Struthio camelus: one gene and its partners. The protein of the gene in region 3 purifies or fractionates together with the protein of the main gene of each other region. This does not show direct contact. Links are inferred from orthologs where the notes say so. Each region holds a gene or a part of one and is shown on either strand. Other genes may lie near its edges.

Evidence for each region.
Region 1: the proteins of CUEDC1 (region 3) and SMURF2 purify together in Homo sapiens (co-immunoprecipitation; 3 studies listed by BioGRID and IntAct, with this or other methods). This does not show direct contact. The link is inferred for Struthio camelus from reciprocal best matches to the Homo sapiens genes CUEDC1 and SMURF2.
Region 2: the proteins of CUEDC1 (region 3) and TOM1 purify together in Homo sapiens (co-immunoprecipitation; 3 studies listed by BioGRID and IntAct, with this or other methods). This does not show direct contact. The link is inferred for Struthio camelus from reciprocal best matches to the Homo sapiens genes CUEDC1 and TOM1.

The regions. Positions count from the first base shown.
Region 1 is NC_090960.1:4,577,493-4,585,037, forward strand, and holds the start of SMURF2 (E3 ubiquitin-protein ligase SMURF2), read left to right. Parts: upstream 1-4,502; 5' UTR 4,503-4,857; coding exon 4,858-4,909; intron 4,910-7,545. UniProt on the Homo sapiens protein: E3 ubiquitin-protein ligase which accepts ubiquitin from an E2 ubiquitin-conjugating enzyme in the form of a thioester and then directly transfers the ubiquitin to targeted substrates.
Region 2 is NC_090942.1:59,891,254-59,899,027, forward strand, and holds the start of TOM1 (target of Myb1 membrane trafficking protein), read right to left. Parts: upstream 3,084-7,774; 5' UTR 3,001-3,083; coding exon 2,949-3,000; intron 1-2,948. Other genes in the region: HMGXB4 (HMG domain-containing protein 4), read right to left, coding at 7,534-7,578.
Region 3 is NC_090957.1:20,582,021-20,590,108, reverse strand, and holds the start of CUEDC1 (CUE domain-containing protein 1), read right to left. Parts: upstream 3,085-8,088; 5' UTR 2,978-3,084; coding exon 2,690-2,977; intron 2,089-2,689; coding exon 1,961-2,088; intron 1,076-1,960; coding exon 955-1,075; intron 253-954; coding exon 69-252; intron 1-68.

The DNA of each region.
Region 1 (7,545 bases), on a different chromosome or scaffold from region 3:
ATATGTGACTTCAGTAGAGATGAGTTTGATGCTTTTGTACAGAGTAGCAGCAGGGAAGATAACAAAAAGAACCTCCTAGAGGACAAAGTTCTTCTGTTCAGGGACAGGACAAAAACGTGATGGATCTGCATGAATTTAGGAAGTGCCTTTGCTGTAGCAAGAAGTTATGAAAGGATTAAAGAAGGATTAAAAGAAAAACCCGCACCAAAGAGACAGGCTAGGAGAGTGGTGCCCTTAACAGTCAAAGATGTTGATGGAGTAGGTCAAGACTGAGAGAGCTCACAAGAGAACAGCATTCTAGGTGGCATCTGGAAGTCATGAGCTGTGGAAATTAGTGAGGCATAAAAAGATTCTTCAAGCTGAGTAAGGACACCAAAATCAAGGCACCTTTTGTTTCATTATCTTTCAGACAGTGAAGCAATACAGGGTCTTGCTCCAAGCTCATCATCTTTTACTTGTGTGACTCTCACAGGGCTTGTAGCGGCCACGGTCCAGTTGCTTTTGCTCGCTGATCTCTTGCTGAGTATTTCAGCACAGTTAGTATTTTGCCTATCTTTAAAGGAAACACCTCGCTATGGCCATTGCTCTTTTGAGAAATAGTTTCTCCAGATTCCAGTTTTCATAAAATGTTGGAATCTGAGCTTGATGTTGTAAGTTTATCATTATTAATGACTAGATTTTACTGAGTAGCGCATTGGGACATCAACTCAGGTATGGCTTACTTGGCATTAGGCACTGTATTAACATGATAAGAGAAAGTCCCTGCTTTGAAGATCCTTGCTGTTTGTCATGGAAATTGGCTTGGGACAGAGAGAACATGCTAGTGTAGAACACAGTATGAAGTCAGGAAACAGAAAGACTCTTTTTTAATGATGTCTTGCATAGAGGTACACAGGAATGCTTTGAAAGTGAATTAGTTAATCAGGTAAAATAAGAAATGAACAGGAAACGCTGATGGTATAAATGTTAATCAATTCATATAATTCATACTTGTTTTTCTTTTTTTGCCAACTTGGACAGAACTTTACTGAAAAAGAAAAACATTGACATTATAAGAATGAGATCAGGGACTTGCATAAATATTTCAATTTTATTTATCTTCAAATCAAATGGGACCTGACAAATTTAAATCCTAACGGGGTCATCTAGGTGTATATTGCTACAATGCTTTTCCTCTCAGAACTAGACTGTTAGGTGGCAGAAGTAGCCATTTAGCATTAACGGTTGCACATACAATGGAAATACATCATAGAGAAAAGGGAATAGAAGTTTAATTTTCTTCTGATTAACTCTGGTTTTAATGCCATGATCTCTAGTGGTGGCATTTCTAAATCGCACCAGGTAAAGAAAGACTAGTAGGAAGAAATACAACACTGACAATTGTAAGTTTACTTATTTTTTAAAATTGAGGAAAATACTATTTTAGCCTTTCAATTTACTCACAAAAGCTTAACAATAGGGTCAGGACTCTCCTGCTTTCCTGATATCATCACAGAAGCTAGGGAAGAATGTGGTATAGCACCAGCCAGCTCTCATTACTGCTAAAGGAATGTGGTGTGATTAAACCTCCATACAGAAAGAAATGGAATGTAATTCTTACATGTTGATGTGCTTTGAACACATACCACATGCTGAGGAATGAGTTTCCAGTATATTCTTCTATTTCTAAAGATGGAGAGGACCTTACCTCAGAAAAATTAACTACAAATATCCTCTTCTGAAAATGAGTACTATTTGGTTAAAGACATTTGTTCACATTTTCCAGTGTCCAAAACCTCTAAATCCTTCGAGAAATATCTGAATGCAAAGCCTTCTTTTTCTGCCTATTGGGAAATTCAAGAATCAAAGCCCTTTTTTGTGCAGTCATGGAACAAAAGAAGTTTTTGTAGTTCCACTTTTTTTTTTTCCCAAAAGTTTTACTAACATAATACCAACCACTAAATTATTTTGTCCTTGTGGAGCCTTCTGCAGCCCCGCTGGGGTCCTAAAGATGGTTGAGCTTACCCCCTTCATATATAATTTCCTGCAACCCTTGAGACTGTGTCTCAGTCGCTAACTTCTGGCTGCAGACGACTCGGTGGAACTCCCTCCCGAGTCCAGCAGTGAGGCTGTCATCCAAAAGTGAGCTGTGGGGTGATGCAAGGCACTCCCTTCCCTCCGGATCTCAGCTAGCTACCTCATCTTGAAAGGATTTGTTGCTCAATGATATCAGCCCAGAGTGAAACACGGATCACTTGTCAGCAGTTAATGATGATATTTCCCTGCTTACCTCACAAGATCAGCACTATGGAGTGAAACCTCTTTTCACCCTTGAAATGGTAATGCACAAAGACAAACTTTACTGTAAATGCTTGGCTTATAAAACCCAAAGCAGGATCAGTGAGATATCTATTACCTTAATCTCAGAGTATTTTGAGAACTTGGGGGATAGCACTGGCACAAGAAACTCCCTGGATCATGAAATCTGTGTGAAATTCTTTTATTGGAAAAGTAGCACTTTCAGTCATCAGGTACTGTCAATATTTTTGGTCTCCCGCATTCCCTGCAGTTCTTGGCACTTCGCAATGCTTCCTGACCGCTGCTCAATGCAGTTTTTGCACAGATTCCTCACTGTCTGGCAATTTTACTCAGTGAAGGGGAACAGCGAATAGAAATACTGATTTCTCTATAGAATAGTGAGATATGATGGGACAGAAACATCCGTAGAACACCCAGGGTACATTTATAGTAATGTTTTTACAAAGCCAGAAGGAAAAAAGACTGTATTTTGCACCTGGTACGTTTGTCTGTCCAAGTGCAACCTGGTCTAGGTCATTTCTCCTCATGTTAGTGGAGAGAGGACACAGTCCTGACCTAAATGGGGTCATTACATGTTAGAAAAATCTACTGTAGCCTAGAAATATGTGAAGCATGTGAAAAGTGGCTTTATATTTTGTTTTTCTATTCTGTTCAGCAGTGGCCAGGTAATGTTGCAATATTTGCAAACCAGCTGCCATTTGCTTTATGCAGTTAGTTTTACAAAAGGCTAATAACCTGGCTGTATGAATTCGCAACAGATTGAAAATTTAATATGGCCTTACATCATTAAGGCTGGTTTTATTTATTTATTTTTTAATGCAGGAATCAGGACACCTGGAACGTCTTTGTGGTGTGTCTGTATTTACATAACTAAGAAATAACTTTTTAACTGTTTCAGTACAGCATATAAATTACATCTGTGCTGTGAAATTAATGAAGATTAGACTTGACTAGTTTTAAATGTTCTTTGCTTGAAAAAATGGCTAAGCAATGAATCAGTGCATTTTCTCTTATGCTTTGTCTATTCTGTAAAGAAAGGTCCATTACTAACACTTGCTAATGTTGTGATTAACAGGCATTGCACAGGAAAGAAATAGCTCTGTATGAAGAAAGGGCTCGATCCCAGGACTCCTCCACTCCCAGGTGAATTAACACTGCAGCAGTGGCGCCACTGCAACAGGAAGCACTGAAAACTTCCTCCTGCTGCTTGAGACATGCTGTGGAAGGAAGGAGATGCGAGTCTGCACAACCCAGCGCTCTGAGCACCGCATCCCACTTCCGAGGCCTTCAGTGGACCCCGGTTTGACTTAATACAGCCCAAGCACTGACCTCCGTCCGGATGGGACACCTCCAGGTATGCTTATGGTTCAGTTCTGCCTTCTGGGTGACTTTACCTGTGTTAGGTAGAAGCTACGTTATAAATTCAATGAAGCATGGGTCACGTTTTCATCCCACGTTTGAATCCTCATCCATAGGATGGATCCTGATCTATGACTACCCGTGCGATAATACGTTACAGGCTGCCCGTGCAATGACACAACCGCATGATTTGTGTGCAAAGCATAATAAACCATTAGTAAGGTTATGAGTAAGAAGAGGTGCTAGTCATCTTCTAACGTGAAGGTGACTGTGGCAACCTTCAGGGCTCGTCTGGGAGGCCCCATGTCCTCCACAGGCCCCCCTGAAAGCTGCCTGCCGGTGCTGCGTCTCTCGCCGCCCTCGCTTTCCTGCAAAGCCTGGAAGTCCCTGAAAGAGTCACCGACGGGAGCAAAATTAGGCCAGGCAGCGCGGATACAAGGCAGCTTTTCCCTTCTCCGGGACGGTCCTTTGCCAGACTTGGCTGCTCGTCCCTACAGAGCGCTGGCCACCAGCGAACTAGCCCAAAGTTGAGTGGTTTCCACCACCAGCTTGCCAGACCTCACTCAACGCAAACCATCACCCAGCATCAGAGGTGCTCAGCCGCGCCACCCAACCTCTCGGCGTGCCTTCGCCCGCCCGCCCCGACGGCCTTGACCCCTTCGGCTTTCTCAGTCCCCTCAGCTCTCCAAAAACAAACAAACAAACAAAAAAACCCCACACGGACACCCCGCTTCGTTACGGAGCTCCGCTCCCCTGTCTCCACGCCACGGCCGTGGGCACCTCCCCGCGCCCCACTGCCCGGGCAGGGGGGGGGGGAAACACCCTGTGGGAAGCGAGGGAGAGGGGAGGAGAAGGGAGGCGGCCGCCCGCCGTGCGGCTCCGTCGCCGGCTTTGTTGTGCTGGCCGCCGGGCTCCGGGCTAGGGGGCGGGGAGGCGAGGCGGCGGCATCTCCGCCTCCTCCTCCTCCTCGGCCCCGCTCATGGCGACGCTGGGCACATCCGGGCTTCTCCTCCTCCGCCTCCTCCTCCGGCGGCCGCCGCCGCTGTTGCTGCTGCTGCTGTTGCTGCTGCTTCCCTGAGCGCCCGGCCCGACTCCATTAGCGCGTCCCCTCCCCCCTGCCCGCCCCGTCTCCCTTCCCGGACCTAGAGGCAGGGGGAGCCCCGGGCCAGGCAGCGCCGAGCCCGAGGAGCAGCCGGGGACATGTCCAACCAAGGGGCCCGGAGAAACGGGCCCGTCAAGCTGCGACTGACAGGTGAGGGCGAGCGCGGCGGCGGGGCGGGCGGGGGCTGCCATTGCCTGCCCCCCTCCCCCCCCCCGCCTTCTCCGCCTTTGGCCTCCGCCAACGGTCCGGCGGCGGGAAGGGGGCGAGTTCGTGAGGGAAGAGCCGAGAGGAAGCGAGCAGGGGTTCGGGGGGCGAGGCGAGGCGGCCGTTGCGCGCCGCGCCGCGGGGCGGGAGGGGAGGGGAAGCCCGCCGTCCGCGGGCAGAGGCGCCCACGGAGCCTTTCCGCGCGCCGAGCCCAGCTGGAGGGGGGCGGGCGGGGGCGAGCCGCCTCCGTGTGTATTTGAGATTGAACCTGGGGCCGGAGCAGCCTTTCAGGCCTCTTGTCTCTGTGTGTGTGTGTGTGGAGGGGTGAACTCTTCCCTCGCCGCCCATCGTCTCCCCGCCATAGAGGGGAGGGGGGGGGGTCGTCGTGAGGAAAATGTCCGTGCCCCGCGGCGGCGGCGCCCAGGCTGGCGGTGAGGGGCAGCCGGCCGCTGCCGCCCTCCCCTCCCGGCCCCGCCGCCGCCGCCCTCCTCGGCGCGGGGGGAGCCGGCCGGTGTGAGCTCCTCGGCGCTGCCTCCCTTACCCTGTTCCTCAGCTCCCCTACCACCCCAACCCCCGTGTTTCCCCCCAACCCCCGGCCTTCTTCCCAGTGTAAACTTGAAAGAAACTGTCACACTCTTTGTTTTGATCTCTTTGTTTGTGTCCCCCCCCCCCCCCAGCCGACTTCCTCAGTTCAAGTCGTACCCAGTTGGTTTGCCCTCATGCCTGACGCTGCCAGCCCGCTTTCAGGAGATCGCTTGACCCCTCGTGTTTTTTAGATACCGTCAGAAACTCTTCACCTGCGTGCTGGGAAGGGAAATAAGTTATTTCTAAGTCCTTGAAGTATGTGGTTTGTTTTTTTTTTTTTTAAACAGTAAGAACCCAGGCAAATAGGTTTAGAGGAGAAACTCTGGGGAGCGTTGCTAGAGCTTTCCTGACAAAAAAAATGTGTTTCTTTCCCTTTTGAAAGAAAAGAGTTGATGAAAAATTTTGTAAACCCACACCAGCACAAAACACATACTTTGTGTTCTAATTCTTAGTGCATGAAGGCAAGAGACTAGAAAATAGTAGCTAATATTACTAATACTGTTGCCTTCAAATAGTGTGTTTTACCAGGATAGTGGTTCTGCTGGCAAAAAATATCCAATCAGCACTAAAAAAAAAAAAAAAACAAAGCTGGAAGGGTTGGTATATTTACTTTTAAGTGCCCGTGAAATATTTCCAGCTACTGTCTAATGAAGAGATGTTTTCCTATTTTTTCAAAATATGCTATTTTTACAGGGAAAATGAATGTATCTGCTTATGTTTTACTTTGGAAATACTTGGCCTAAATTTGTAATCTAGTTTTCATAGAGATTTGTGAGTGTCTCTATATTCCACTTAGAAATAAAACTCTTAAAATAAGCATAGCTGGGACTGATGCACGGAACAGTGCTGCCTTGTTTTTACAGTGTGTTTTGTAGCTTGCTCTTTAGGCTATTGCTGTACTGATGCAGTACTTAATTCTTTTTTTTTTCCTGAGTGCTCAGACTTGCTTTATTTTTGAAACATTAAAAATGGTCTGGAGCCTCATGTGAAAGTATGGAAAATACCTGTTTAGGGAGTTGTCTTTTTCACCTTTGGATTTCACGTTCTATATTTATTTTATTTTTATTAAGGACTAAGTATATAGTCATCTGTCTGTGACAATATAAATATGTTGTGGGGGATTATGACCGTGAGCAAGGAATAAGCAGCAGTTTTACTTACAGAGTTTTAGGAGACTGCGTAGCTGTGCAGTGCAAAAAGAAGCAGATACAATCTTAAGACGTGCCTCTGAGTTTTTTGTCGTCTTATATTTTAGGAAGGATATATGCAGAACACAGGATGCAGGCAAAATTGCCTTTATAGGGACTCTTCCAGCTCTAGCAGCTGTTTGCAGTTGCTGAGTACCAGTTCTGGTTTTTTGGAAGTTTATATGAAACATCAGCCTATTTCTCAAGTTAAAAATGCTTGAGGTATTTTGTGCTTTGGTTAATTGCATGTTGTTTCACATAAAGTCATTTGTTATAAGGAAGTTTTACATGTTTAAGGAAAGCTGTTATAAGCACTGAACTGAACTTTATTAATTGAACTGACATGTTGTCAGTTCTTGCCTAGGAATAGTTTTAAGCGCTCTGTGTGGTTTTGATTACCCTTTTTGATTGGAAAAGCAGTGTGAAGACTCTTGAATTCTAAAACTGTTTGGAATTAAAAGAATCTGTATATTCCAGTGTTTTTAAAAGTTTATTCTCAAACTGGCAAATGTTATTTAATCGTAATTTTCTTTGGCCTTACAAAACTAGCAGTCTTCTGTTTTGGCTTGAGTATTTATAGGATTCATTTTGCAATCATTGTGTAATGCTTATCTTTTCTGTTCATTATCTCTAAATTAGATAGTATAGATTAAAAAATGGATTTTGAGAGCTGGATTCAATTAGCAGTTTTTCAGGACATAAACATTAAAGGTTTAGATGGAAAACATTGTTTTGACTGACTGGATAAATGACAGGGTAATGTTTGATGTGAGTCCAAGAACTGATCTGGAGCTAGTGCCCAACTTCTCA
Region 2 (7,774 bases), on a different chromosome or scaffold from region 3:
GGTGGATTGTGTTTAATTTGCTCCTCCTCTCTCACTCATAAGCAGTAGCAATCTGCTCTCACCAGCTCCCTCTTCCCATTCTCAACTTCTCCTGTTTCCACACACTTAACCTCCTCCCCCCGCCCCCCAAACTCTTCTTTGTCTCTCTATGACATGTTTAGTTTTCTCCCCTATCTGCCTTCACTCACTGGAATAACCAGTCTCTGTCCCTTGCTATAATTACTAGCTATTCCAAACTCTAAGCTTTAAGAAAAGAGAATATTTGTGGTTTCTTCTCCATTTTCACACTCTACAGTTGCCTTGTTACTACTAGAGTGCCTCCTCGGAGTTAGGTTTTCCATATTGAGGTTTCTCGGAGCTCCTAGGTAGAGGCCAAGGGGATTATCCTTCTGTGTGGAGAGTCCAAACTCTTTGGAAAGTTCTCTGCTAGCCAAAAGTATTGCATTAAAAAAAAAAAAAAAGTCTGTATTCCTCTTATTTAGGAGGACATATCATGATCTAAAAACAGAACAAAAGGAACTTTTGTGAACAAATTCCAGGACTGGGAGTAAGAAGCTGGAAAACCTACTCCTCTGCAGTTTGCAACTGACTCATTCTGAGACAAATCACTGAGTTTATCTAAGCACCAGTTTCCATGTCAGCAAAATAAAGAGGACTTACTAGATTAACACTAATGAAGCAATTTCAGAACATCACTGGAGTGTGGCACAAAAGATTTTTTCATTCCACCGCCTTCATCCAAAGCTGTTTTAGACTTTATAAGCTGTATCAAGCATACACGACTTTGCTGAAGTAATTTACAATGATGCAGTATAAGCCTTCTGTAGACAGCCCAAAGCAGCAGCACTCTGCAGGTTTGATGATCAGGCTCAAGGGTTGTATAAGCAGCTGACACTGACCTACCAAACAACTTAGGGTAAGTCATGTTCGCGTCTCAAATTAAATAGTGAAGATAGCATTTATCCATGTCCCCAGGATGTTGCTAGGCAATGATCAGAAGGAAAAAAGCATTCATATTTACAGCCACCAGCCCTTTTAAGTCCTCCACACTTCAGTTCCCTTCTCAGACACTGCAAATCCTCCAACCCTTTGGATTCCCGCAACCTCAACCATTAAGATCTCTCTACTGTCACACCTCTGGTACTAAGGATTCTAAATTCCTGTCTGACAACACTCTTGAAATACTTATTTTCTCTTCTTTGCTGTTGGTTTGTTACTTGGAAACCCTGTCTTTAACAGAAGAAAAGCCCAGAGGGAAATCACTTATAATTTGGCTGCTACACTGATCAAAAGATCTGGAGGGCAAGATGTAATCTGTAACATCTAAAGATTACTTCATTTTGCCTCAACCCAAATGCAAAAATCATATCCCATACATTCATGCAGGGAATCAAAGAACATTCATTCTGAAAAGGGCGGGAGAATGCTCCTCCTGGAAAGCGTGATGCAACATGTGACAACTGCCTGGGGGGACATCAAAGATCATCTGAAACTTCTCATTACCTAGTAACTTCCCTGATATCTTTGGCCAAAGCGATCCTTCCCCTACCTTGCAGCAGTGAATCTCACCTATGTTGTCCAACACGCTAACATGGGCCATATCACAGTGCCCTATCCATATTGTTTGGACACTGCTTTGGGCAGCAAGAGCCTCTAAAATAAGTAGGACTTTTAAAAGCACTACCTACATCAACTGCTTGCTCCCTTCCCATACCATACATGACACAATCAGTGCACTACACATGTGGACCCCACACGCAAGCAGTTTGAAAAGTACTGAATTAGGAATCAGTTTTTCAAGATGAAGAACACAGGTTGGCACTAGTGATAAAAAGCAACAATGAAGAAGCGTATAAAATTACAAATGGCCATTTTCTATCATGCTGGATAGATTAAACATGTGACATCAACTGTACTACCTCAAGCACAACCAGAAAGCATGTAATACAAGAGGGGAAGAAAAGAACCTTTGTTTTAAGCATTTTAAGCACTATATCTCTGTTTTGAGACCATTTTTGATCAATTTCTTCCCCTGTGTTCATCTAATTGACCTGAGCACAGGGTTTAAAAAAAGACTTAGTAGTCCATCAGCCTGAGAGGTCACAGAGAAGATGCCATAAACCTGTAGTTGATTTCACTTCCCATGCTGATTTTCAGACCTATGAGAAATCCAGCGGTGCAGGGGTGGCACTTTCCTCCTCGTGGAGCTGCAGTGTGGCCCTATGGGGGGGGGGGGGCCCTGCGCACTGCAGACCTCAAGGTTCAGCAGGGGCAGCACCAGATAGAGCTGTCCTCCTTCAGAGCAGGGGGGGTGGCACTGAACCCCCCTGGGAAGAGCCCCAAAGAGCCTGGAGCAGGCCTAACCCCCCCCCAGCCTCCCAGCAAAGCCCTCCAGACTCTGTCATGGCCCCCAAGGAGGACCCCCTTCTCAAGGAGAACTCCCACCCTTCTCATCTAGAAAGCTGATAGGCCCCCCGTGGCCTGAGCCCCAGCCAATCAGCGACCCCCCACGCGCCCCTCTCCGTATGTGCCCGCTCCCCCCACCAGGTCCTCATGCAGGTGTCGGCGGGAACGGGCCCGAGCCAATCACAGGTGGCGGCTGCGCGAGGGGGCGTGGCTCGGACCACCGCTGCTTCGGCCCCTTTAAGCAAGAAAACTTTGCCTCGCCATCTCGAGACCCCCCCCCCGCACACGGATTGGCTGGTCGACGGAGCCGTCCAGCTCTTGCTGCTCGCCATTGGTGGACAGCGCCTGTCCGTCAAAGCGGCACGCTCCCCTCATAGGCTGGCGCTCTCTCAGGCCCGCCGTGGAGGCGGGGATGGCCGCGCCCCCTCGGGGCTCTCGCCGCCGCTTCCTGGAGGAAGGGGGTCCAGCCAGCGGGCGAGCCCACCTCAGGGGCGCGGGGGAGGGCAGGGGAGCGGCGCGGCGCGGGGTCGCGGGAGCCTCACCGATGCGCTGCCCCACGGGGGAGCTGAAGGGGTTTCCTAGGAGAAAGTCCATCGCTGCCGCCGCGCCGCGATCAGCTGACTCCGCCGGCGCCGCTCACGTGACGCCCGCGCGCCAGGCCGGGGCGTGCCTCCGAGGCCCAGCCACGCCGTGACGAAAGCGCCCCGCGCTTAACGGCCGCCGCCCCGCCGGTGGGGGCGGGGCCGGCGGAGATGGAAGGTGGCCGGTAGTCCGTCAGGGACGGAGCCACCAGAGCGCTCCGGCCCGGCCGCCCTCCCCGCGGAGGGGCCCGGGAACGGGGCCGCTCGCTGAGGCGCGGAGCCGGCCGCTGCCGGAAGCGCGGCCTCCTGTGCGGCCGCCCGGCCGGGCCCGGCCCGGCCCGGCCCGGCCGCCGCCGCCGCTTTCGCGAGCGGCCACAGTAAACCGTGTGTCGGTTGCAGCTTCAGGCTGGAGCGCTTTTCTAACCTGACCGCTTTGAGCGGTTGGTCGTGGCTGTTGTTCACCAGTGGGGCTGAAGTCCACCGTGCGTTTTCCCTGCGGGGAGGTTTTGAATGCTATTTTAGTAGACAAGGCAGTTGTTTGCAGCCACAGCTTTGAAGAGCCCAGCTACCAACAAGTACGATTTCCCTGCACGCGTTCTTCCTACCTTCTTTCACAGCTATTTACAGTGTGGCACCAAGACAGGCTGATGTGGCTACTGATGTATCTTTTTGCTACCATTTTCTTACTGAAACACTAGAACAGTTTCCTCAAATGCTCTTCTGTATCTATGCAGAATAAACATTACCTAGAGCTGCATTGAAATGCGTGAAAGCATGTAGTTATTGGCTTTTATTTTTCCATAAACTTCTGTTGAAATGTACTTAAAACAAGGAATACAAGTTGGCTAGTAAAGTATCACGTTCTGCAACAGCCTCATGTCTTTGGACATCACACACGCTGAGGGTGTAAGTGGCCAGTGCATCTGTCAGACCCTGGAAATGGGGACATGTTAAGAACTAGCACTGATTATGATCTAACTTTGCCATGCCTGTAGTTCCTTTCACTGTCTTGATCTTGAGTCCCCTGTACTGTTTCACCTTAACACCACAAAGGTGAACTGAAATGAGAGAACAGGGAAGAAAAATGCCCCATGCTGTAGGATTTGCCATGCTAGATGTTATCTTTCCCTTCAGGAAGGTCTCCAAATTGTCAGTATTCTTTGAGTGGTATTTCAGGTGAACTGTGCTATTAGAACTAGAATTGCTTGTTCTTAAAACAACTGAGATGAAGGAATTTAAAATTAAAAGTGTTTTGCCGAGAAACACGAAATACTAGTAGGAACAACTGTTGCAAGAAAACATAGTAAACACTAGAAATGAATGACAACACTCCAAATGTTAAAAAAAATTATATTGTTAAGTACAGTACAAAAGAGTTTCTTTATATAATTGTAATGTAATCTGGATCAAACAGCAAGGAAATAACAAAAATATAAAAACTGCTAAGTGTCACCAAAGTTTTCCCTCTAGTACCAAATACCACAAGATACAGATTATACAAAGTGTACAAATTTTAAATAAAAATACAATACACTAGGGTTGTGTGTGTTTTTAAACTCTTCAAGAGTTTTCAATTGTACAGATGACAAAGCAAGAGCTGATCTCCTTCTGTTTCTTAGAGATCTAGCCCTTTACCACAATGCTCTCAGTTGTAAAGAGCTGGAAAGAGCCAGTGACTTTGTGCCACTCCCAATAGCAGATGCTTTAGTAAGGGTCCAGGATCACAAATTGAATTAGACTGCCTCCCTCCCAAGCCTCTTCCCAATTCCAAGATCTCTGTGATTAGTCATATATTGTCCAAACAGGTATTCTGTGGTCTGAGGCTTCAGATAAGAATTGACATGATAGTTTCAGAATCTTCTGCTTCATCCACTTAATTTACTGAGAAAACAACATTGAACTGAGAAAAGGTCTGTAACAGACAGACTGCTTTGCACTGGCACAGTTGGGGAATATATGGTAAAGAGGAACGGGGAGAAAAACCCTCCTGCACACCTGAGGATTTAATTTAAATATGATTTGGGACTCAGCCATAATGAGGGACAGCTCACTTTCAACTGCCCTGAAAAAGAGAAACTACACTTCAAATTGGAAGTAGTCCAAAAGTGCTCTTCTATCATTTTGAAACTTTTATGCTATAAGGGCTGGAGATCCTGGGGTCAAATTAAAAAGCTTTCTATTTCAGCTTCTACCTAGCTTCACAAGATAGTCTTGTTTTTTACAAACACTTAAAGTCTTGCTGCTGTTTCCCCATACAGAACCAATGCATGCTACTGCACGTATAGCTGATGCCTGCAGGAAGTGAGGTGACGCACACCTGATTCGTGTTTTCCACACACTGTTGGTGGAGGGAGGGATTTTTGCTTTTAAATTATATACATATATATATATATATATACACACACACACACACACACACACACACAGAAATATACAGGATAAATTAAAATCTGTTACAGATATTGGTAAAAGTTAAATACACATGATATGAACACTACATACACATACATACAGACACACAAAAACCTATATGAGAATCAAGTGCTCTCCTGCAGCTCTTCTTCTAGAGGAGCAGAAAACCAAAATACCAAGTATGTGGCTGGAAGGAAGGGGAATCAGTCCAATCAACTGACATGTGCCTTGCTCAGCCATTACTGCTTAAAACTGGTCATTAGTCACTGCCTCACAGCAGCACCGTGGCTCTTTCAATACTGCTGGTGAAAGGGATAGGATCAGCGATCTCAGAAACTCAAGTCCTGTGTTCACAAAACACATGCAAGACGAACAGAAGCAATCCAGGTTTCTCCCATCTGCTACCACTCTCCTCTCCACCAGAAGACTGTGCTGCATTCAGAGGGGCCTGGACAGGCTGGAGAGGTGGGCGGGGAGGAACCTCCTGAAATTCCACAAAGGCAAGTGCAGGGTCCTGCACCCAGGGAGGAATAACCCCATGCAGCAGGACAGGCTGGGGAGTGACCTGCTGGAAAGCAGCTCTGCAGAGAAGGAGCTGGGAGTCCTGGTGGACAAGTTGAGCATGAGCCAGCAGTGTGCCCAACAAGGCCAATGGGATCCTGGGGTGCATTAGGCAAGAGTGTTGCCAGCAGGTGGAGGGAGGTGATCCTGCCCCTCTACTCAGCCCTGGTGAGGCCTCACCTGGAGTGCTGTGTCCAGTTCTGGGCTCCCCAGTACAAGAGAGACATGGCGCTACTGGAGAGAGTCCAGCGGAGGGCTACAAAGATGCTGAGGGGACTGGAGCATCTCTCCTCTGAAGAAAGGCTGCGAGAGCTGGGCCTGTTCAGTCTGGAGAAGAGAAGACTGAGAGGCGATCTGATCAACGTGTATAAGTATCTGAAGGGGGGATGTCAAGAGGATGAGACAGGTGCCCAGCGACAGGACAAGAGGCAACGGGCACAAACTGAACCACAGGAAGTTCCATCTGAACCTGAGAAAAAACTTCTTCACGGTGAGGGCAACAGATCACTGGAACAGGTTGCCCAGAGAGGTAGTTGCAGAGAGGAGTCTCCTTTGCTGGAGATATTCCAAACCCGTCTGGATGTGATCCTGGGCAATATGTTCTATAAGACCCTGCTTGAGCAGAGAGGTTGGACTAGATGATCTCCAGAGGTCCCTTTCAACCTCAACCATTCTGTGATTCTGTGATTCTGTGATTCTGTGATTCTGTGAAAGTGGGCTGACCAAGCCCTGGAAAAATCAGCAGGAGGTTCATTCTCACAAGCCAGTGCAGTCTGTTGATACCTCACGCTAATGGCAATTTGGATGCCAGTCCACAAGAAAAGAACAAATGTTTTGCCATCTTCACCTTCAAACCAAATGCAAGCTACCAGACCAGCCAGCTGACGCTGACAACTTTCAGTCATCAGTCACTGAAGAGGGAAGCTTGGAAGTTGTGACTCAGAGGTGAAGACCTCTATATCTTTTATCAGCTATCCAGCTTTTCCCTCAAGCAGTAGATTTTATACTGAAAAAGTTAGAAACAGGGCTGGTGAAGAGTTCAGTTCTACTCCTTGGTCCACAATAAATTAGCATCTCTAACTGCCCACAGAATAATTGTCAGGAGGTCATCTTGTCCAACCTCTGCTTAAAGAAAGTCTAACTAGAGCAGGTTGCTCAGTCAGTTTCTAAATAACATCAAGGATGGAGATTCATACCCTCTCTGGACAATCTGTTCCAACAACCACTCTTAATATTTTGTTTTTTATATCTAGAAGTCGATTCTCTAGTGGGTGCTTCCCCCACTAACAGATCTGAATTTAAGGCTAGTATCTCAAACGCTTTCTGAATTCTTCATAAAAATACTTTCAAATTGGAGTACATTTCATCCACCAACATAAAAGGGTTCTCTCAGCTTAAATTCACAACTGTTCATGAAATTAATAGAAGTCAAATAGTTACAATCCTATGTATATAGTATACAGATATAAAACGTTAAAATCCTACACACGGAGCCCTTAGAGAGTGCCGGCGTAGTGCATATGCACGCAAGTCAGTTATGCAGAGGTTGAGCACATCCCAGGATTTCTTCCTATCAAAGTCCAGGCATGATGTAGGCAATGTTGTCTAGTGTGTTTGACTGGGAAAAGAAATTCAATATTGTTTAACATCAGATAATGACTCAAAATCCTTCAGAAATGACACAGATAAGGAGGTTATTAAGCATCTTCACTGTCTTATAAATTACCATATGATGAGACCATACGACTATTGCCTAGTCATCACTACCACTGGTAGGCTAATTTCCACATTCTTGGAAATATAAGTAAATTAAA
Region 3 (8,088 bases):
GGGCAGCACCGCGGCGGGACGCGCGCCCCCGCCAAGCCCCGACCGAGGTTCCCCGCGGGGCTTCGCACCTCTCTCCAGGGCGAGGAGGAAATCGCGGTTCCTCTGGAGCTCCTTCATGAACTCCTCGTTCTGCAGGAAGAGCGCGATCCGCTCGTCTTCCAGGTACTGCTTCCACCGCCGCTCCTGCTCCAGGGCGCCCTGGCCCCGGGGGCCGAGGCCGCGCGGCACCGCCGGCCGCCCGCCGCGGGAGCCCTGCACGGAGCCAGGCACAGGAGGCGTCGGGCCGCGGCGGGCGGCTCGGTGGGGAGCCCCGCGCCGCGGCCCAGCTCCCGCCGGCTCGGCCCGCGGGCCGTGGCGAGAGTCAGCAGCGCAAGGGTATTTCCAGCCGGGAGCGGAGGCTGTTTCAGCTGGGAGCCGGCGTGGCACAGCTGGGGACCCCGCTTCGCCTTGCAAATGCTTCACATGGAAAGGCCGGGGCTAAGCCTGTCGGCGAGGCCGGGCAGGAAGGTCTCCCCCAGCCAAATCCCTGCTCTTATCCCCCCACCCAGAAGCGCCCCGGCCGCCGGCTCCCTCCGCGGCCGAGCGGAGCAGAGCCGCGCCGGGCAGCAGCAGTCCCTGCATGGCGATATCCATGTGCCTCCTTAGCTGCTCTCGGCGAGCCACAGAAAGCAAAAGCGTGCAAGCAGCAGGAGAGGAAAGGAGAGCTGCTGCTCTCCCCCCGCCGAAGCCCGAAGGAATTGGCCACGCTCCTGTTCCCAGAAAGGTAATAGAGCCGGCGAAGCTGAGCTTCCCGGCAGTCCTTCCTGGAAACGTGGCAGCCTGCTCCGGAGCCAAAAAGGGAGGGAAGAGGCGAGCGCGGGGGCCCCGCTCCGGGCGGGCTGGGGGCCCCGCGGGACGCGCCGGGCGCAGCGCCAGGCCCTGCAGAGCCCGCAGGCCGGGCGGCGCGGCGCTCACCTGGGCGCCGGCGGGCGGCCGCGGCAGGATGCGCAGGAAGTCCTCCGGCAGGTTGCCCAACAGCGGCGGGTTCCAGTTGCGGTAGCGGCCCCGGGGCTGGGCGCCGCCGGGCGCCTCCGTCCTGCGGGGCAAGCGCAGGCAGCCGCCGTCGGCCGGAGCGAAACCCCGCCGGCACCCGCGGCACGAGGCGCCCAGCTCCCCGGGATCCCGGGCCTCGTCCCGGGAACCGAGACATCGCTTCTGCCTCCAGAGACCCACCGAGTCAGCGTCAAGCCACCAGAGTGACGGGCTTTTCTCCTTAGTCCCCACTCTCTGGGAATGGCTTTCCGAGCCTTCCTCCGCAGCCGGGAAGGCCAGGCTTTCCCTCGCCTCTCCCTTTTGCAGCGCGGGCGCTCTAACACCGCAGCATGGGCTTGCCAGGCGGCAGGGGCAGCCGCTCGCTGCCGGCCGGCGGGATGCTGCGGCCGGCGCCCGCCGCGAGCGGGCCCCTACGCCCCTACGCCCCGCTCGGGGCGGGAGCAGCTCTCCAAGGCTCGCCACGCTGACGAGGCAAGGAAACGAGGCGGCGAGCCCCCGGCGCCGGCCCGGGCCTGCAGACGCCCCCTTCCCGCCGCCGGTCCCCAGCTGGGCCCTCGATCCACCGGCCCTCTGCGAGGTCGGGCAGCCGCGGCTCCGCCGAAGAAGCCACCTGGGGTTTTCGAGAGGCGGCTGCCGCTCCCCCGGCTCCGCTCGCTGATTTTTGCCGTTCCCCTCGGCCCGCGAGCGGCTCCCCGGCCCCGCAGCTGTCGGCTTCCCAGCGCCCCGCCGGCATTTTGCAGCCAGCTGCGAGCTTCATTCATCTCCCTTGGCTTCGTCTCGCCCGGCCCTAATTCAGCGACACCAGACGCCCCTCGGAGAGGCCGGGTCAGGCTCAGCGACAGCCCGTTTGCGCGGCCCGGCCGGCGCGAGGCTGGGTCGGGCATTCGGCACGACGCCGGCGCCGGCGGCCGCGGCTCCGGGCGCTCACCTGGGCGGCGGGGCGGGCGGCGCGGGGGCCGGGCGGCTGCCCAGCGCCGGCGCCTCGTGGGCCGGAGGGGAGTACACGGGAGGCGGCTCCTCGTCCGAGCTGTCCGGCTCCAGCGTCCGCTCCAGGATCTGGGCGATGGGAAAGACGGGGTGAGAGCGAACCGGGGAGCCATTTGCCAAATGCAGCTGCAAGGAGAGATGGGGCAAAACCTCCCGGTGCAAAGCAGGAGCAGGGTGCCAGCACGGCACGGCACAGCACGGCACGGCGCCGCCGGCACCCTGCGCTCGCCCAGCCCTCGGGGGCCAGGACGGGAGGAAAGCGGTCGGGCTCAGCCTCCACCACCCCCCGGGCCAACCGGCCAGGCTGCGTCCTGCACGCCCGCGGGATCGGACGCCCCAGCGCCTGCACCTCAAAGCCGCAAGCAGGCAGGTTTGCTCCCCTGCTGCTGCTGCTCCCGCGCGCCCGGGGACGGGGCGAACCGCCCCACCGGACGCTGCAAGACGCAAGGGGCGGCACGGAGACGCCCTCCGAATTCAGCGTGCATCACGAAGGTCAAAGCCAGCGCTAGCTAAAAGCAATCCCGCGGCTGCATGCATCAGCAGCCTTTGGTGTCAGCCACCGTATCCCGTAGGCGTGCGCGTTCCCCACGGGAGCGAGCGCTTTTCAAACACCCACGACAGGAGAGCATCCCGGGCTGCATCCCGGGCCCCCCGCAGCCCGGGGACTCACCTCCGGGGGGATGCTGTCCTCCGAGTCGGAGCTGTCGTCGCCGTCGCCGCCGTCCAGGCTCATCTGCAGGAGCTGGTCGATGGTGGCGTCGACGGCGCCGCGGTTGGCCCGCAGCACGCACTCGATGATGTCGTAGTCCATGCGCGGGAACATGGTGCTGAAGTCCTCCATGGCCTGGTTGAACTCCAGGCGCCGGACCTGCCGGCCGGGCCGGCTGTTGTTGAGCTCGGGCGCCGCGGAGCCGCCGCGGGAGCCGCCGCTGCTGCTCCGCCGGAAGAGGCTCGTCATGCTGGGGAGGCGCGGGGGGCCAGCCGGGCGTCACGGGCACCGGCCGGGGCGGCCGCGGCACGGCATCGCGGCACGGCCCTCGGCGGCGCCGCGGCCCCCCCGGCCCTCCTGCGAAAGAGGAAAAAAGAGAAAGGAAAAAAAAAAAATCACCATCTGGGAAGAGCATCGTGGGCGGAGCGGCGGGATCCCGGCGCGGCCGGGGGACGAGGCGGCCGAGCCGGAGCCTCCTCGGGCGTCCCTGTGCACAGACAGGACACCTGGGTTTCCATAGAAAACGTTTTTGGGAACCACTTTCATCTAAAAACATTCTTGGAAACCCCCCCTTCAAGGGCTTTTTCTTTCTCTTTTTTTTTTTTAATTATTTTTTTGTTTGGGGGATTTTTAAAATCTTCTTTTTGCAGCCCTGCAGAGCAGGCGGGGGCGCAGCGTGGCCTCTCGCCTCAGCTGGCGACGCTCAGCTCGGCCCCGCTGCCGCCCGCGCCGCGGCCGGAGCCCCCGCCCTGGGCATGCCGGGCCGGAGCCGGGCCGGCCGCGCCGCCGCGGGCCAAACGCCATGGACCCGCTGCAAGCCCGTTCAGAAAACACCGCTATTTCCTCTCCAAAGGGCTCCACAGATGGCTCCGTTCCAGGTTTCACACTTATTTATAAACACACTAGACTTGCTCTTTAAGAAAAAAACCCAGCTCCGACGCTTCCAGAGCAGGGGGCAGAAGCAGTCTGCAGCGCCCCAGCTCAGCCCCCGGGAAGAGCCACCAAATCCAAGATTAACATTCACTGTAAAACCATAAACAGATTACCCCGCTCCTGCTTCTCATGCGCAAACGCAGGGCCAAACTCGCTGCTGCCTTAAGCCCGCCGTCCGAGCGACCCCAGCAACGCTGCAGATCCACAGCGTCGCGTCCAAGGGCTTTGCCCTGAGCGGCGGGCAGCGAGTCCGAGACAAACCTGGGCGGCCGGCGGAGCAGGGGCAGGGGCAGGGGCAGGGGCAGGGGCAGGGGCAGGGGCAGGAGCAGGAGCAGGGGCAGGGGCAGGGGCAGGGGCAGGGGCAGGAGCAGGGGCAGGGGCAGGGGCAGGGGCAGGGGCAGGGGCAGGGGCAGGGGCAGGGGCAGGGGCAGGAGCAGGAGCAGGGGCAGGGGCAGGGGCAGGGGCAGGAGCAGGAGCAGGGGCAGGGGCAGGGGCAGGGGCAGGGGCAGGGGCAGGAGCAGGAGCAGGGGCAGGGGCAGGGGCAGGGGCAGGGGCAGGGGCAGGAGCAGGGGCAGGAGCAGGGGCAGGGGCAGGGGCAGGGGCAGGAGCAGGGGCAGGGGCAGGGCAGGAGCAGGAGCAGGGGCAGGGGCAGGGGCAGGAGCAGGGGCAGGGGCAGGGCAGGAGCAGGAGCAGGGGCAGGGGCAGGGGCAGGGGCAGGAGCAGGGGCAGGGGCAGGGGCAGGGGCAGGAGCAGGGGCAGGAGCAGGGGCAGGGGCAGGGGCAGGGGCAGGGCAGGAGCAGGGGCAGGGGCAGGGGCAGGGGCAGGAGCAGGGGCAGGAGCAGGGGCAGGGGCAGGGGCAGGGGCAGGGCAGGAGCAGGAGCAGGGGCAGGGGCAGGGGCAGGAGCAGGGGCAGGGGCAGGGCAGGAGCAGGAGCAGGGGCAGGGGCAGGGGCAGGGGCAGGAGCAGGGGCAGGGGCAGGGGCAGGGGCAGGAGCAGGGGCAGGAGCAGGGGCAGGGGCAGGGGCAGGGGCAGGGCAGGAGCAGGGGCAGGGGCAGGGGCAGGGGCAGGAGCAGGGGCAGGAGCAGGGGCAGGGGCAGGGGCAGGGGCAGGAGCAGGGGCAGGGGCAGGGGCAGGGGCAGGAGCAGGAGCAGGGGCAGGGGCAGGGGCAGGGGCAGGGGCAGGAGCAGGGGCAGGGGCAGGGGCAGGGGCAGGGGCAGGGGCAGGGGCAGGGGCAGGAGCAGGGGCAGGGGCAGGGCAGGAGCAGGAGCAGGGGCAGGGGCAGGGGCAGGGGCAGGAGCAGGGGCAGGGGCAGGGGCAGGGGCAGGGGCAGGGGCAGGAGCAGGGGCAGGGGCAGGGGCAGGGGCAGGGCAGGAGCAGGGGCAGGGGCAGGGGCAGGGGCAGGAGCAGGGGCAGGAGCAGGGGCAGGGGCAGGGGCAGGGGCAGGAGCAGGAGCAGGAGCAGGGGCAGGGGCAGGGGCAGGGGCAGGGGCAGGGGCAGGAGCAGGGGCAGGGGCAGGGGCAGGGGCAGGAGCAGGGGCAGGGGCAGGGGCAGGGGCAGGGGCAGGGGCAGGGGCTGGGGCAGGGGCAGGGGCAGGGGCAGGAGCTGGAGCAGGGGCAGGAGCTGGGGCAGGAGCAGGAGCTGGGGCAGGGGCAGGGGCAGGGGCAGGAGCAGGAGCAGGGGCAGGAGCAGGAGCTGGGGCAGGGGCAGGAGCAGGAGCTGGAACAGGAGCGCGCCGGCGAGCCCGGCCCCTGCACGCAAACAGCCCGGCCCAAACCCCAGCCCAGCCCAAACCCAAGCAGCCCTGCGGAGAGGAGACCTGCTGCAGCCAACGGCGAGATCGGCAACGACATACTGTCTCCAAAACGCCGAGTGGCAAAATCAGGCCCCAAAATCTCGAGACGTGCTGAAAATTCCCCAGATCTGTTTAAAAATCCCAAGATCTACAGAGTAGATGATAAGCGCATGCCGTTGGGGCTGTTTGCTCCCCAGCGTTGGACCGCCAGGTGTATATGTAAGGTCTCCCCGAAGGGTGGGAAACGCCGTTTCTCGAGCCCCCGAACGGCCCCTCGGGGCAGAGCGGGAGCTCCTGTCCGGCGGGAGCCGAGCGGCTCATCGCGTGCGAACGGCTCCTTTCCGGGGAGGGTGTTCGTCAACATGACATAAGAGCCTGCGACGACTCATTTAAATTGCAGCCCCTGGCAGACAGCGCGGCTGAGTGCCGCCGCGCGCTGTATAATTGAAAGCTGCTGGTCATAAGGCGAAAAAAGTAGGGCTGGGGACAGCACATCTGGGCGCCCGAGAGGCCCCGCTGCACATCTGGCGCTAAGCGGCGTTGCGGGACCGGGGCGCGAAGCCGCTGCTGATAATCCGCAGAGATGCAAAGCCCTGCCCTGGCGCGAGTTAGCCGAAAGGCTAAAGGAGCGGCTCCGCGTAGGGGGCCTTCCCCAGCCCCGTCCGCCAGCCCCGCTCCGCGGCGGCAGCGAGCCAGGGAGCTCCAGGCCCGCGCCGCTATCGCGGCCATGCCGGCGAGGGGCTGGGAGGATGCCAAGAAAAGCAAAACCGTCGGGATTTCCCAAAAAGGAAAGCAGAAAGCTCGTGCCTGGCTGCGGCCGGCAGGGAGAGCGGCGGCGGGCGCGCGGTGGCTGCCCCGGCCGGCACCCGGCGCTCCCGGGACCGGCTCCCGGCTCCCGCGAGCCCGCTGCAGCCCGCCTGCGACGACGGTGCTCATCTCGCAAGACAAATTTTCAGCTCTGACAGCCTCGAAAGGACTCCAGCACATACCCCGAGCGGGCTGCTCTTCGCCTCGTGCCCCCCGTCGGCAAAGTCAGATCATGACCACTCGTTTAGCCGTGGCCTCATCAGCTTTCTTCCTGCCTTAAAACAGTTTGGGCTGTTCCTTGTTCATGCAGAGAGGGCCCTGAGTGCTTTTATTCGAATGAATGAACGAATAAAGCGCGGCGGCCCCAGCGCCCGGCAAGGGCCGGCGCTGCCCGCGCGCCCAGGACGAGCCGCACGGGAAAACGGGCAGCTGCTAGAGCCTCCTCGACGCCTGCCCTGCCGGGAAGCCGCCGCACGGGGCCAGCTTTATTCCAGACCCATCAGCACGGAAGCAGAGGGAGAGATGAGCCCGACGGCGACCCCGCTGCAACCGCGGGAATGCCTCCGGAGAGCGGGAACAGCACTCTCCAGCCGCCCGGGCGCCGGGGCCGCGCAGCACGCAGACCTGCAGGGGCTTTGCCGCACGCTTTATCCCCCCGCCCAGGGCTGCTCGGGGCGCGGGGGCCTGCACAGCCCACCCCGGCCGCCGCTCGGGGCGCAGGAGCGGCGGCAAAAGCAACCGCAGCTCGTGGGAAATGTCAGCAGCGAGCTGCAGCGCTCCGGCAGCCCTGGGGAGGGGACGGTCCGTCCCCGTGCACCCGCCGTCCCCGGGCTCGTGGCCACCGGGACACGCCGGGGCCAGGGCGACCCGCTGCCGCCCGCTCGCCGCGGCCACCTCCCGCCCCCGGGCGCGCCGGGAAAGTTGGGCGAGCGGGCGCAGCGCCGGGGCGAGCCCTCCCTGGCCGCCTCCCGGGCGGCCCTCTCGCACCGCAGAGCGCAGTCGTTGCTGCGGGACGCCAGCTTTTACCGCAGCATCTCCGCCATCCGGGACGGGGCAACTAGGAAGGACAACGGCGGTGGGGTGCTGCTGAGGCCCTAGCCGGGACGCGCCTGGTGCAGGGGGCCTTCTGCTGCCGCGGCGGGCCAGCTCGCCCCCGGCGAGACCGCCCCGAGCAGCACAGAGGCAGTTAAAAACAATCCCAAGGCTTTTGTGCTCCCCTAAAGACGTTACGTCGGTCTTAAAAAGCACAGAAGGGAGAGCGCGCGGCCGTAACCGGGTCTGCGCTGCCGGCCTGAGCGCCCAGCACGGCTGCCCGGCACGGCACGGCGCGCCGCCAAACGGGACCGGCCCCGATTCCCCCCTCTCTCGCCCTGCTGCAGTTGCCGATTCGCCCGGCGAAGGCGCTGGCCCGGCGGCCGCCCCGCGCCGAGCCGCGCTGCCGAGGCCGCCGGGGCCGTTCCCGCGCTGCTCCCCGGCGCGAGCTGCCGGCGCGGCTCAGCCCAGCCGGTCCCCGGAGGCTCCCCGACGCCGCGGGACCGGGGCGTTGCAGCGTAGTACAAAAATAAATACTTCAGCCAAAGCGGATTTGCTGAGCTCTGCCTTCAGCCAGGCTCCTGCAAAGGGATTTCACCGTATAGGAACCGGCAGCTGGGCAAGGCGGCTACTCGGTGACTGCAGGTGTGACTACAACAGCATTAAAATTAGGATGAGAAGTGAACAGTCGGAAACAAAACTTACAGTTGTTTCTACCGGCAAATAGAAATTCAGAGCAGGCACGGAGGATGTGCAGGATGAGGCCCTTCTGTCGTAGTCGTCTTTCCAAGCCCTC